Linked DNA regions of Rattus norvegicus. The protein of the gene in region 3 interacts with the protein of the main gene of each other region in a pairwise test. Links are inferred from orthologs where the notes say so. Each region holds a gene or a part of one and is shown on either strand. Other genes may lie near its edges.

What was found.
Region 1: the proteins of Trim23 (region 3) and Gpkow interact in binary tests that used the Homo sapiens proteins (3 or more experiments, as listed by UniProt). The two-hybrid records come from large-scale screens. The link is inferred for Rattus norvegicus from reciprocal best matches to the Homo sapiens genes TRIM23 and GPKOW.
Region 2: the proteins of Trim23 (region 3) and Brme1 interact in binary tests that used the Homo sapiens proteins (3 or more experiments, as listed by UniProt). The two-hybrid records come from large-scale screens. The link is inferred for Rattus norvegicus from reciprocal best matches to the Homo sapiens genes TRIM23 and BRME1.

What each region holds. Positions count from the first base shown.
Region 1 is NC_086039.1:17,465,194-17,468,579, forward strand, and holds part of Gpkow (G-patch domain and KOW motifs-containing protein), read right to left. Parts: intron 3,077-3,386; coding exon 2,938-3,076; intron 2,745-2,937; coding exon 2,621-2,744; intron 2,530-2,620; coding exon 2,460-2,529; intron 1,117-2,459; coding exon 1,031-1,116; intron 942-1,030; coding exon 807-941; 3' UTR 1-806. UniProt on the Homo sapiens protein: RNA-binding protein involved in pre-mRNA splicing. As a component of the minor spliceosome, involved in the splicing of U12-type introns in pre-mRNAs.
Region 2 is NC_086037.1:40,893,853-40,897,194, forward strand, and holds the end of Brme1 (break repair meiotic recombinase recruitment factor 1), read right to left. Parts: coding exon of another isoform or gene 3,311-3,342; exon of another isoform or gene 3,034-3,310; intron 2,993-3,033; coding exon 2,895-2,992; intron 2,467-2,894; exon of another isoform or gene 2,362-2,466; intron 1,702-2,361; coding exon 1,609-1,701; intron 1,376-1,608; coding exon 1,249-1,375; 3' UTR 969-1,248; downstream 1-968. UniProt on the Homo sapiens protein: Meiotic recombination factor component of recombination bridges involved in meiotic double-strand break repair.
Region 3 is NC_086020.1:37,034,645-37,039,508, reverse strand, and holds the start of Trim23 (E3 ubiquitin-protein ligase TRIM23), read right to left. Parts: upstream 3,305-4,864; 5' UTR 3,228-3,304; coding exon 3,147-3,227; intron 772-3,146; coding exon 691-771; intron 1-690. Other genes in the region: Trappc13 (trafficking protein particle complex subunit 13), read left to right, coding at 3,947-3,992.

The DNA.
Region 1 (3,386 bases), on a different chromosome or scaffold from region 3:
TCTAAGTCATGACCTAAGTAATCTCCCCCAGGCCTTTATTTTTCAAAGGTCAAAAGTATATGCTAGTAGTACAGTCTTGAGCACAAATCCTTTACCATGTGGCATATGAGCTGGGGAGGTAGCTCAGTGGTTAAGAGTGCTTACTGCGCTTCCAAAGGACCTCAGTTTGGTTCCTAGCACCCATGCTAGGCAGCTTGCAATTGCCTATAACTTCGACTCTAGGGGAACTCAACACTCATGGTCTCTGAAAGCATTCATTTATATTCACAGTCTCTCTCTCTCTCTCTCTCTCTCTCTCTCTCTCTCTCTCTCATAAAGCAACAACAACAACAACAACAACAACAACAACAGCAACATACAATAAATCTTATAAAAAAAAGATATGGGCCTTTGAAGGCCATTCAAGACCCAAACTCAGGAAGTTGTTCTGAGATGTGGCATTGCAGATTCGATAGTGTTTGGGGATAGACTTCATAGTTCTTAAGTTCCAAGGGTGAGCTATGTATTGAGTGGGTAATCTAACTTGCCCTGCACCTTCAGCAGGGAAATGAGGTTAAGAAACGAAGTATTTCTACTTCTGTTATCTCAGTTCCCACCCAAATTTACAGTTCACATACTGGTTTTGATTTCAACCTTTCACCATTGAAAATGGTTTTTATTATGCTCTAAATTTTGGTAAATAGCCTGTTCTATCTAGTCACATCCCCATCTTTGCATCTCAAACAATTATTTCCCATCTTCCTCTGGCATGTTATAAATTGTAACAAAAGTAGTGACAGCCTGAGTGACGGGCAATGGTCCATGTGTCAGTCTTCATCTGAGTCACCGGGGCCCATGTACTGGCAGATGGCATCATAGTGGAGCTCCACCACCTGATTCTCTCTCCCAAGCTGGACCATAGCGTGACTCTGTGCTCTGTCCCGACGCAGAAGAAGTCCCACCTGAGGACAGATGGGGCAGAGTGAGCGAGGTCAGCCCAGATCCTCACTGATGTGATCTCCAGACTCTCATTTTCAGACATAGGACTTACCTTTCCAGCATGTGGTCCCAGTACCACCATCACGCGGTGGCCCTCTCCCCTGGGAACCAGGGTCTCCAGCATGCCTTCTTTCACACCTACAGATGAGAAAAGAGGGGAATGAAGTCCACAGCAAGGGCCAGGCTGGCCAGATCCTGTCAGAGAGGCCTTTGCTAATATTTATTAAAGCTACTCTTATAGACTGTTGATAGATGGAGTCCCACTCTACCCATTTCACAGGTGAGAAAACCAAGGAGTAGTTCATAGAAATAACCACCATACACGAACATTTTCCTACAGAAACTATGTCCTGGGTTTCAGTACACTTCTTCCCGTAAAGGCAATAGTTTTGACAGGGACAAACTTGTAAAAATATGACTAGGCAGCTGTCCTTGGGTCAGTGGAATTAGCATCAAAATACAGATAAGTCCAGGGCAAAGCACAGCACAAACTGGAAAATACATAGGGTTTAGGTTATCCCTCTCTAGGAAGTATCTGCTCTGGAAGAGGATGCTGGGCCTAGCAAAAACCTCAACCCTGCCCAGGTTCGTAGCTCTTGGCCCGAGATTCTTCTTTTCTTTTTTGTACTACCCCCACTCTTTCTCCATTTCTTTTCTTTTTAAAGACTTATTTTACGTATGTGGTTATACTTCGCTATCTTCAGACACACCAGGAGAGGGCATCAGATCCCATTACAGATGGTTGTGAGCCACCATGTGGGTGCTGGGAATTGAACTCAGGACCTCTGTGCTCTTAACCACTGAGCAATCTCTCCAACCTCCATTTCTTTTCTTTTTCAAATAAGATCTTGGGGGCTAGAGAGATGGCTCAGCGGTTAAGAGCACTGACTGCCCTTCCAGAGGTCCTGAGTTCAATTCCCAGCAACCACATGGTGACTCACAACCATCTGTAATGGGATCTGATGCCCTCTTCTGGTGTGTCTGAAGATAGCTACAGCATACTTATACAGAATAAATAATCTTTAAAAAAATAAAATAGGGGGTTGGGGATTTAGCTCAGCGGTAGAGTGCTTGCTAGGCCCTGGGTTCGGTCCCCAGCTCCGAAAAAAAAGAAAAGAAAAAAAATAAAATAGGATTTTACATTGCAGCCCAGGTTGGCCCTGCCTCCCAGGAACTAGAATGCACCCTTTCCTTAAGCTTTTTTAGATTCATTTCTTTTATGTGCATGAGTGTTTTGCTTGATGTTATTATGTCTGTAACACCGTGTGTGTGCCTGCTGTTCACAGATGTCAGAACAGAGCCTCTGAAACTGGAGTTTCAGACAGTTATGAGCTGCCATGTGGATACTTGGAATTAAACCTGAGTCCTCTGGAAGAGTAGCCAGTGCTCTAAACCACTGAGCCACCTCTCCAGCTCCTCAAATAGGCCATTTCTTTATCATTCTCTAAGAGAGGAACATCCCAGGTACTGCTCAGACTTACCTTCTAGAACTCGGCCTTCATCCGTCCGACACACACAAGTACCTGGGCTCAGGACATCTTCAATTGTCATCTAGAGAGATGAAGAGATAGAAGTAAGATGTTAGAAAGTTAAAGGGTCCAGTCCTGGGTGAGGAAGGGGTCTCCAGTTGTGGAAATCATACCTTGGTGTTATAATAGCGGCCACCCTTGTGCACTTTGTCAATGAACCGCACACGTAGGTCCCTGTGTAACCAGTGCTTGTTTCTAGGCGCCGCTTTCTCAGTCTTGGGCACAGGTCCATCCCGTCTGTGGAGAAAGCCAGAATGTAGCTTACCTTTTTGTCACACCCATGTTGCAGCCAGCCTATCTTCAAAAGCCATGCCGTAAAACCCACCCCTACTGCTGTTCCCAGTTGCTTCTATGCCCTGCTTTGCCTTGGAAGTTTTCCCTGACTGCTTGAGCCACCCATACCATGCAAGCCCAGTGGACCAGCTCCTACCGGTCAGGAGAGTGTTTCCGCTTCTTCTCTGAATCCTTCTGCCTCCTCTTTGAGTCTTCCTGATTCTGTAGGGCCTTCACTGATGAGGCTGTTCCAGTTGCTCTGTGCTGCTGCTCTGTGGAAGTTTTGCTCACATGGCCTGTTCAAGGGGTATAGGGACAGCAAGAAGAAAGCCTCGCTGTATTCCTTCCAAGGGTCATTGTCCTCCTGGCAAAGGACCTGTTCTCTATCCACCTCCTTCAAGAAGTCCCTCTCAACTACCTGGCCCATAACAAAGACAACAGAGTCAACTGCCTGGTGTTCACAAGAGTGGACGAAGAGCCGCAGGCACCTCCAAGCTGCCCCTCCCACAACCATCACTGTTCTGTTCACCACTCCTTGCTCACACCTTAACTCTAGTTTCATATTTAGCAAAAGAGGGGACCGCCACTCTAAATACATGAGGACCC
Region 2 (3,342 bases), on a different chromosome or scaffold from region 3:
CAGCTGTGAGAGACTTAAAGTCCCAGCCACCCACTGCCTATTGATGTGCAAAACAGGGGCCTCTCCTTGCACTGAAGGCACACAGGAATTAAGGGGATGGAGAAACCAAATCAGTGTCCCTCCAGAGATACCACCACCATCTCCCATCTTGGGGGCTGTAGGCTGCCACAAAGGGCACTGCCGGCTCAACTGGGGATAGGGCTATACTTTGTGGCTCATTACACATCTGCCTCCTTCAGTTCTACTGTCCTGGGGGAAGCTGAACAAGGTACTTCCTGGGTTCATTAAGCTGGCCTGAGGCTTTACCCTCAGCCTGCATTCTTGCTCCTGGCCTGGGAGCCAGGGAGGAGGGAGGCAGCAGGAGGAGGGCTCCTTAGTAGCCCAGAGCCTGTGAGTGGCACAGGGAAAGCAGCTCCTTGCAAAAGCCAGACCACCAACCTGAGTCTTAAGCCCAGGAGCAGGGCATGGGCTAGGTGGGGTTAGGGACAGCTGTTCCTCCAGCCAAGACCTAGCCTGTCTCCTAGCCTCCTCCACTGGGTTCCCCTAGGTGGAGGAGGCTGAGATACGAAGGCCTAAGCCAACCGAGGTGTGTATTTCTACAAATAGGATCCCCTCCACCCCCTGCACAGCTAAGCATTGCCGTGTCCAGAGGCATGTGGGAGGTGAGGCGGGTGATCAGAGCTTACTCCTAGGCAGTAGACAGGGACCTCACTCTGCATAGGGACCTTGGCTGTAACAGCTAAGGAGGCTTTGTGCCCTGTAACCTATGTGTAGATGTGTTACCCCCACACACCGTCATTCTCTAGAGCTATGAGGAGCTCCTGCCCTGTGTTGTGGCAGCCCTGCTCTAGCAGGAGTGGTTCTGGCTAGCCCTACATGTAGCCTTTGCAGGCAACTGCAGGCCAGTTGAGTTTAGAGAGGTGTATGGGCAGGACATAAGGACCAGGACGTCTCCACACAGCTACGGATCAGGCTCACAACTGCATCATTTATTCCCTGCCTTCCCAAAACTCACAGAAAGCATGGGGGAAGGACAGACAGAACAGAGGGCACGCTCCCCTCCAGAAACAAAGACAACTGCAGCTCAGCTCAGGAGCCTGGGTGCTCAAACCTGGATGAGCATCTGGGGCAGGGCCATGCTCTGTCAGATGACTTCCTAAAGCTCAGGCACCCTGTCCCATGGGAGTAGCCACCCTCAGCCTCCTGCCTATAAGCTATGGTAGGCTGACCCCCACAGGCTACAGCAGTTTACAAGTCCCTCCAGCCCTGATCCCCTCTAGCAAGGCTCCCTAACCCCTTAGTCAGGTAAGGCAGAGACTTGGTTTTCCTGCGCTTGAAGGCTTCCAGGTCCCGGTGAGTGCTCATAATCAGTCGACTGTTGAAGAAACAGAAACAGGGTGGAACTAGCTGTGCCCTGCCACTGCACAGGACCCTGTCTCAGCCACACCTGCCAGGTGGCTCCTCACAGGTGTGTTGTAAATGGCAGGTGCAGTGAGGCAAGACAGAAACAGCCTGGGCCGGGGCCACACTACCCCCTCACCCACACCTGGAATGCCACCTCAGTTCCTACTCGATGTTGTAACCTCTGGTAACTTGAGTTGCCCTTACTTGAGACTGGAGAGCTCTACCACAAGGCCTCGCACCGTGTCTGTTGCGTCCTGCATCCTGTAGGGCTCCTGGGCCCAGGTTCCCACATGGGGTCTGTCAGGAAATGGGAAGGAAAGGGGTGGCCTAAGAGCTCAGGATGATCCAGCGTTCCTTGTGTTGAACACTCCCCACCCCATCCCGCCCTGAATATCCTAGCTCCAACCCCTGCCACCATGGACTGCCACACCAGGGCTGGTGCCATAACCCTCCTTGACCCTCCCAAATAATGGGCACCACCTGTCCTCACCTGGCCCCTGGCCCTTCCCATTGTCTCTGCTCATACTGAATTCCTGACCATTCTTCAGTGCCTCTGAGGACTCTGGATTATTCTTTCCCAGTTTGTCTTGATAGTCAAATTTAACTCTGTGGACTGTCCCGTTCTCAACACTTGGTCATTTGACACTAATTTGCTCCCTAGGATCACTCAAGACAGTAAAGGAGGCATGCCACTGCATTTCCTCAAGGATGTGCAGCCTGGCTGTGCAGACTGGATAGGACCGTCAGCTCTGGTTCACAGCTGGCTTTATACTCGGGAGCCCCAGTTCTGCTACACAGGCCCCAGACACCTGATGGCGCTGCCCATCTGGCCCTCAGGTTTCCTCAAGTGACACTCAGCCTCAGGCCACCAACTGACTCCAGGGCCCAATTTGGGGGCTCCTGTTTACCAACAGGAAGCTGAAATGTTCCTGAATAACAGTGGGTAACAGAGCTAACCTGCTTCTGGTACACTGAAGGAAGAAACTGAGCCACAGGGAGGGGCTGTGCTGACAACGGGCAGTAACAACGGGCAGAAGGGATGAACATTACAGAGGGCAGAGGCTGGAGCAGGGAAAGGGAAAAAAGAGGTCACACTGGCACCCCAGCCTCCTCCATGATTGCCTGACACAAACAGAAACTTGGCAGTAAATTGTAAGTCTGCAGAAACACTGTCAGGTTCGGGGGGGGGGGGGGAGGGCTCCAAGGGCCAGAGTTGATGGCAGCCTCAAGACTGTTTCTGACCACAGTTCCTCCTGCTTGGACACCAGTTCATGTGACTCAGGAACACCCAGGCTCCTCCTCTTAGGATACCCATGTCCAAAGAGGCTAGAACAGTTCAAGGTGCTAGAGGGACTCAGCTCCCACGGACAGGCCCTTCCTTCTTTGGGTGTGAACCAAGGGCACCTGAGTTCCCTTGAGGGACATATGGTGCATGGTAGTTTGAAAGACAGGGCAAGCTCCCATTCCGGATTGAAGACTGGAAAGCCTACCTGGGCTGAGGTTTGGCCACCGCCTTTGGGGATCCTCCGATGGCATATGAGCTAGGGACAGGCCAGCCAGGGTCTGACATATTCCCTGAAGGAAAGCCCTGGAAGGAGTAGGTTCAGTATATGAATCACCCAGCCTGGCAGAGGGAAACATCCACAGCACCCAAGACTTCTCCTTAGCTGAACTTCTCCAAAAGCAGCATGATGCCAGCAAAGGGCTCCAAGCACAGCTGCTCTGCTGTCCTCTTCCTTGTCCTTGCAACAGGCCGATGTGCATTGTGGGATACACTAATGTGTTTTATCCTGATCACTATGGAAGTGTCTCAAAGTATTTTAAAGCTCCTGGAGCAAAGCTAGGTGCAATGGTGTATGCCTCTAATTCCAGCACTTGTGAGGCAGAGGTAGGCAGATCTGTGAGTTCAAGGACAGTCTGATTTACACACGAGTTCTA
Region 3 (4,864 bases):
ATTGCAAATTAACATAATTAACATAATATAATCTGAAAACTAAATATGTAACAATCTATAATTCTACTGAAACCCCCAATCAACAATCATTTCATTTTGCACTCATTTCCTTTTTAAAAAGTGTTTAGAGATTTATTTTTATTTTGTGCATGGGTGTCTTGCCTGCATGTGTGGTGGGTGCATCATGCTAATGCAGTGCCCACAGAGGTCAAGAAAGGGCATCAGACTTCCTGGAACTAGAGTTACAGATGGTTCTTAGTTACCATGGAGTACTAGGAATCAAACCCGAGTTCTTCAAAAGAGCATTCAGTGCTGTCAATAGCTTATTATCTCTCTAGGCCCTGTTTTATTCCCTTGTAAAATGACGTTTCACTGACTACCCCTGAATGGACCTCAGTCCAAGCTGGCCTCAAACTTATAGTAATGTTCCTGCCTCTGCCTCCCAGAAGTTACTATAGGAGATGCCACTGTGTCCAGCCAAACTACCACTGATTTCAATAAAACAATCTAAAATGTGGATTGGGATGATAATCACTTTTCTAAACAATAAAAAAACTTGTAAGACAGTTTCCAAGGAATTTCAAGTATCTTCTAGATTTCACAAAATGATGTAAAGGCAAAAACAAAATTAGCTGAGAATTAAATTTCAATTCCTGTTCTTACACAAGTAATCACAGGTATATGACTTACTGAAAGATAGTGAGGAAGAAAAGCTGCGAGAACTGGCTCACTCTGACACTCAGGTCCATGGGCTAATATTTCATGTATAGTCTGCAAAACGTAATTATAACAATATAGCATTTCCAGTGCTTTTACAACTGACTACCATTCTCTTGCTTCACTGCCACACCTCTCAGTCCCCTCTACTACATGTGTATCCCAGCACAGGACCACTTGCTTCTGTGGTTGGTGGTTTCTCGATCCCTTCTTTATTCTAATTAACACTGAGGAAACATCTAAACATTTACCTACTGGTTTCCTTTTTTAAAGTTTTTATATTCATATACCTAAAAATCCCATCTCTCTTAGTCTCCCAATCTCTCACTCCAATTTCAATTATTACATTATCCTCTGGTTTTCCATGCACCCTGAATATCTATCTGCTTGTCTGACCCAAATACTTCAATACTTTAATAGACTAACCTGTCTTTCCCTATTAGAACGAGAGTGCAGAACAGTACACTCCAGATACAAAAGCACCTACATGCTGATGCAAATAAAACCCAACAAAATAACACTGAAACACAATTCAGGCCACCAAACATGCAACACAAAATAAAAAAAAAAAATAGAAAACTTAAAGAGTGGAAATCTCATTAGACCCATTGCAATTTTAAACTTGATCTTCTAATACATTTAGACTTAGAAATTGAGATACAAACATCTTTCACAGTAATTAAACTGGTAATTTGTAATTACCTCACGTACTGGTAATAGTTCAAAAGAAACTTAAGTGTGGTATAATTCGAAGGAAAAAGAGACAAATTAAATATCTGCTAAATGTATAAAAAAACTTTGTATTAAGAGTTCAATCTAACTCATTCTACAGAGAATAACGACATGAAGATAGTTTTTCAAAAAGCTGTTAATGCTTGGCACTAATTACAGTACAGGAAAAAAATTCCACTGCCTGACACAAAAAATTTACTGAGTAATATAGCACCCATGGACACAATTTAGCAGTTCTTAAGGAACTACATCATACATGCACGACAAAATCAAAATGTTTTCGTCCTTGTTGCTGTTGCTGTTTCTGCTGCTGGGAAATCTCAGGACCCTGACTATATCAGGTAAATGGTCTACTACTGAATCACATCCCCAGTCTACATATGACAAAATCAATGTAACTCCTTAAAGTACTATCTGTATCATTAAATAATTAAAAACAAGCAACGATCCATATAAATACTAAATTGAAAGATACATTATGGTACATTCATATGCCAAAACTACAGCCATTACATCTTTTATGTATACATGCAGAATATATGATAAAGTGAAAAAGTATTAAGGAGAATTATAACATGCTATTCCAATTATGGGAAAGAATGACAAAATATTCTGCAGGTATTCCCATTTGGCAAAAGCAAAATATTAACTCTAACACAAAATATGCTTAATGGGGGCTCCTCTACATTTCATTAGTATAAAAAGTTAACTGATTCAAAACAAACACACCAATAAAAAACGACTGATAAATTTTAGGCATAAATTTCTCAAAAACAGACCTTTGCTAGAGAGAGAGAGAGACAGACAGACAGACAGACAGATATCTACTATTAAAGAATGTCCAATCAAACTTGGTTCACTGTAATAAATCCAAGTGTACTTTAAAATTTCTTCAGGGGATTTAATAAATGTCCTGACATCAACACACTCAGAAAGAGTTGTTTAATCTCTTGGCTACAGATAATCTTCCAAGTTACTCCCTAAACCACATGCCCCTTTTAGATCTACGTTACAGTGGGTGGGGGAAATGATCATCACATACTTCTAGTTAACTTTTAGTAAATGTAGCTTGTAAATATTCGGTAGAATCTTCTAAGGAGACAGTACTCCATACATCTAATGTTAAAGCCCAATTGTGCTGTAGTCGGGGACTTCATAAGTTTTCATACTCTACTATTCAGAAGCAAGGGACAGCTGTGCAATGTTGGAAGGCAGACGTTGACAACCAGTAAACTCTGGGCCCTTAGCACACACTGTATTAACTTAAACCTAGGGTTCCTCCCACGTAAAATGCGAATTAACATCTACCTTTTAAGTAGTTATTAGCGAACTCAAACATCTACCATAGTACTTGTCTATTGCAATGAGTGTTTAATACAACTACGTCAATTAATGCCTCTTGAGGCATCACTAGAAACAGAAGACTAGGGGCAAGACCCAGTCCGGGTCAACTTTCACAGGCCCACGCGGTGCTTTTCACAAACAGCCCCACGGACGACGTTAACACTTGAATTAGAAGACCAGGCAACTTCAGCTCCGCTGGGCAAGGACCGCGGAGGGGCAGGAAAGTCTTGTAACGCCCACCAGAGGCCGCGCATCCAGCCCGGCCAAACCTGGGCCGCACAGTCGCGGCCAGGTCTCCAGGACGAACCGAAGGGAGGCCGCAGGTGGAGAACAGAGCACGCAAGTTCCCTCACCTTCACCACAGCCGTCCCCCGGCTGCCCTGCCGCCCACTGTCTACTCCTGCTCCGGGCTTGTTTACAGCGAGGGCAGCCATCCTGGAAGGAGCAGCGGCACAGCTGCAGTAGAGCCTTTAACTGAGAGGAGGGGTTGAGCGACCTACCCAGAAGCCTCGGCGCGTGCCGCCCTCACGCATGCGCAGGATAGACGGGGAGTCGTCCCGCCTCTTCTGACCTTTTCTCTCCGTCAGTCATTGGCTGTACGGTCTGCGCGTGCGAGCTGTTTTTCCATAAAGGCGTATGTGAGTAATGGAGAGGAGAAAATGTGTTTTATTAAAAGTATGGAACATAAATAAAATTTTATGGTGAAAATGCCATTCCTGGAACATTTTTTCTCTAGTACTGAAACGAGTCAGAATGAGTAAATGAACCACATTCCCCCACCGCCCTGCGTACACTGCTAAATTTGTATAAAATGTACTACAAATCCCAGCATGCCACGACAGTAGCTCCCTCCCCCACCCCCCCTGGGCAATGTAAGCTTTTGGGAAGCCGCGTATTGTCAGCCCGAAGTGGATCGTTGAAGTCAGCCTGTGTGGAAAATATGTGTATTTCTGAACGAAGGAATGGCCTTGGTAAAAAGATTTCACTGGAGCCGTAAAGGACTTAATGAAAAGAGAATTTAAGTTCTCAGGAGCAGAAAGAAGTCGAGCGTGCGTTTGAAGGCCGATCTTCCGGGACTTGTGCCTGGCACTTTTCCTTCCAGACCCAGTGAAACTTCAGCCTGTATAGGCTGAGGTCAGAAGTGCCGGTCAAAATGGAAGTGAATCCCCCCAAACAGGAGCACCTGCTGGCGCTAAAAGGTAAACTGTTGCTAACCTGAGTCTCTTTACTCTGTTATTTGCCTCACTTCTTTGATGGATTCCCAACGAAGGCCTTGTCCCTGAAACCGGGCACTCGCCTTCCCGCTGCTCCTGGAATGAAATGCAAACCTAAGCACTGAGGCCTTTGCTACCACATTTTGTCCACAGCAGCTCACGTCTCGAGCCTGCCGCAGAGATATCTGTGAACCGGCATAAATTTCAGCTGGCATTTAATTTTTTTTTTCTCCAAAAATCACTCCTTTATCCGTCTAGGTCGCAGGGATAAAGTTACCAGGTTTTAGCTTACCTGTAGATGGTGTAGCACGGTAATGCCAAGGATTTGAAATAAATGGAACTACACCTAATACTTCTTAGATTTGTTGAAATATACTGCAAATTAATTCACACTGTAGTATCACGTTTGTGGGAACCTTGTCCAGAATGTCTTATCAACTTTAATTTTCTATACGCATCAGTTTGGAATAAGTTTTAATGATTTAATTTGACCGGGGGGGGGGAGCTAGGAGGTCAGATTTTTCTTGAATCTGCTTATCGATAACCTTTTATTAAAAAACAATTTCAACCTATTTTAGTTTGCTACTGCCACAATGCACTTTCTTGCCTTTGGGATGTGCAGGTATAAAGTTAACAGTGCCTTACACTGATAGGAAGAAATGCTTACAAGACATTTGAACTAGATTGGATTGCACTGGCCCTCTTTAAGGCATCCCTTTGGATATACCGCATATTCCTCCCCCATTCTCTGTGGGCTACATACACATCCAGAAGCTCACCAGTTCCATTCCTAACATGCAGTCACGCTTCCATAGCAGCAGTTAGTATGACTGTCTCTGAATGTGGAGCTAAGAAAG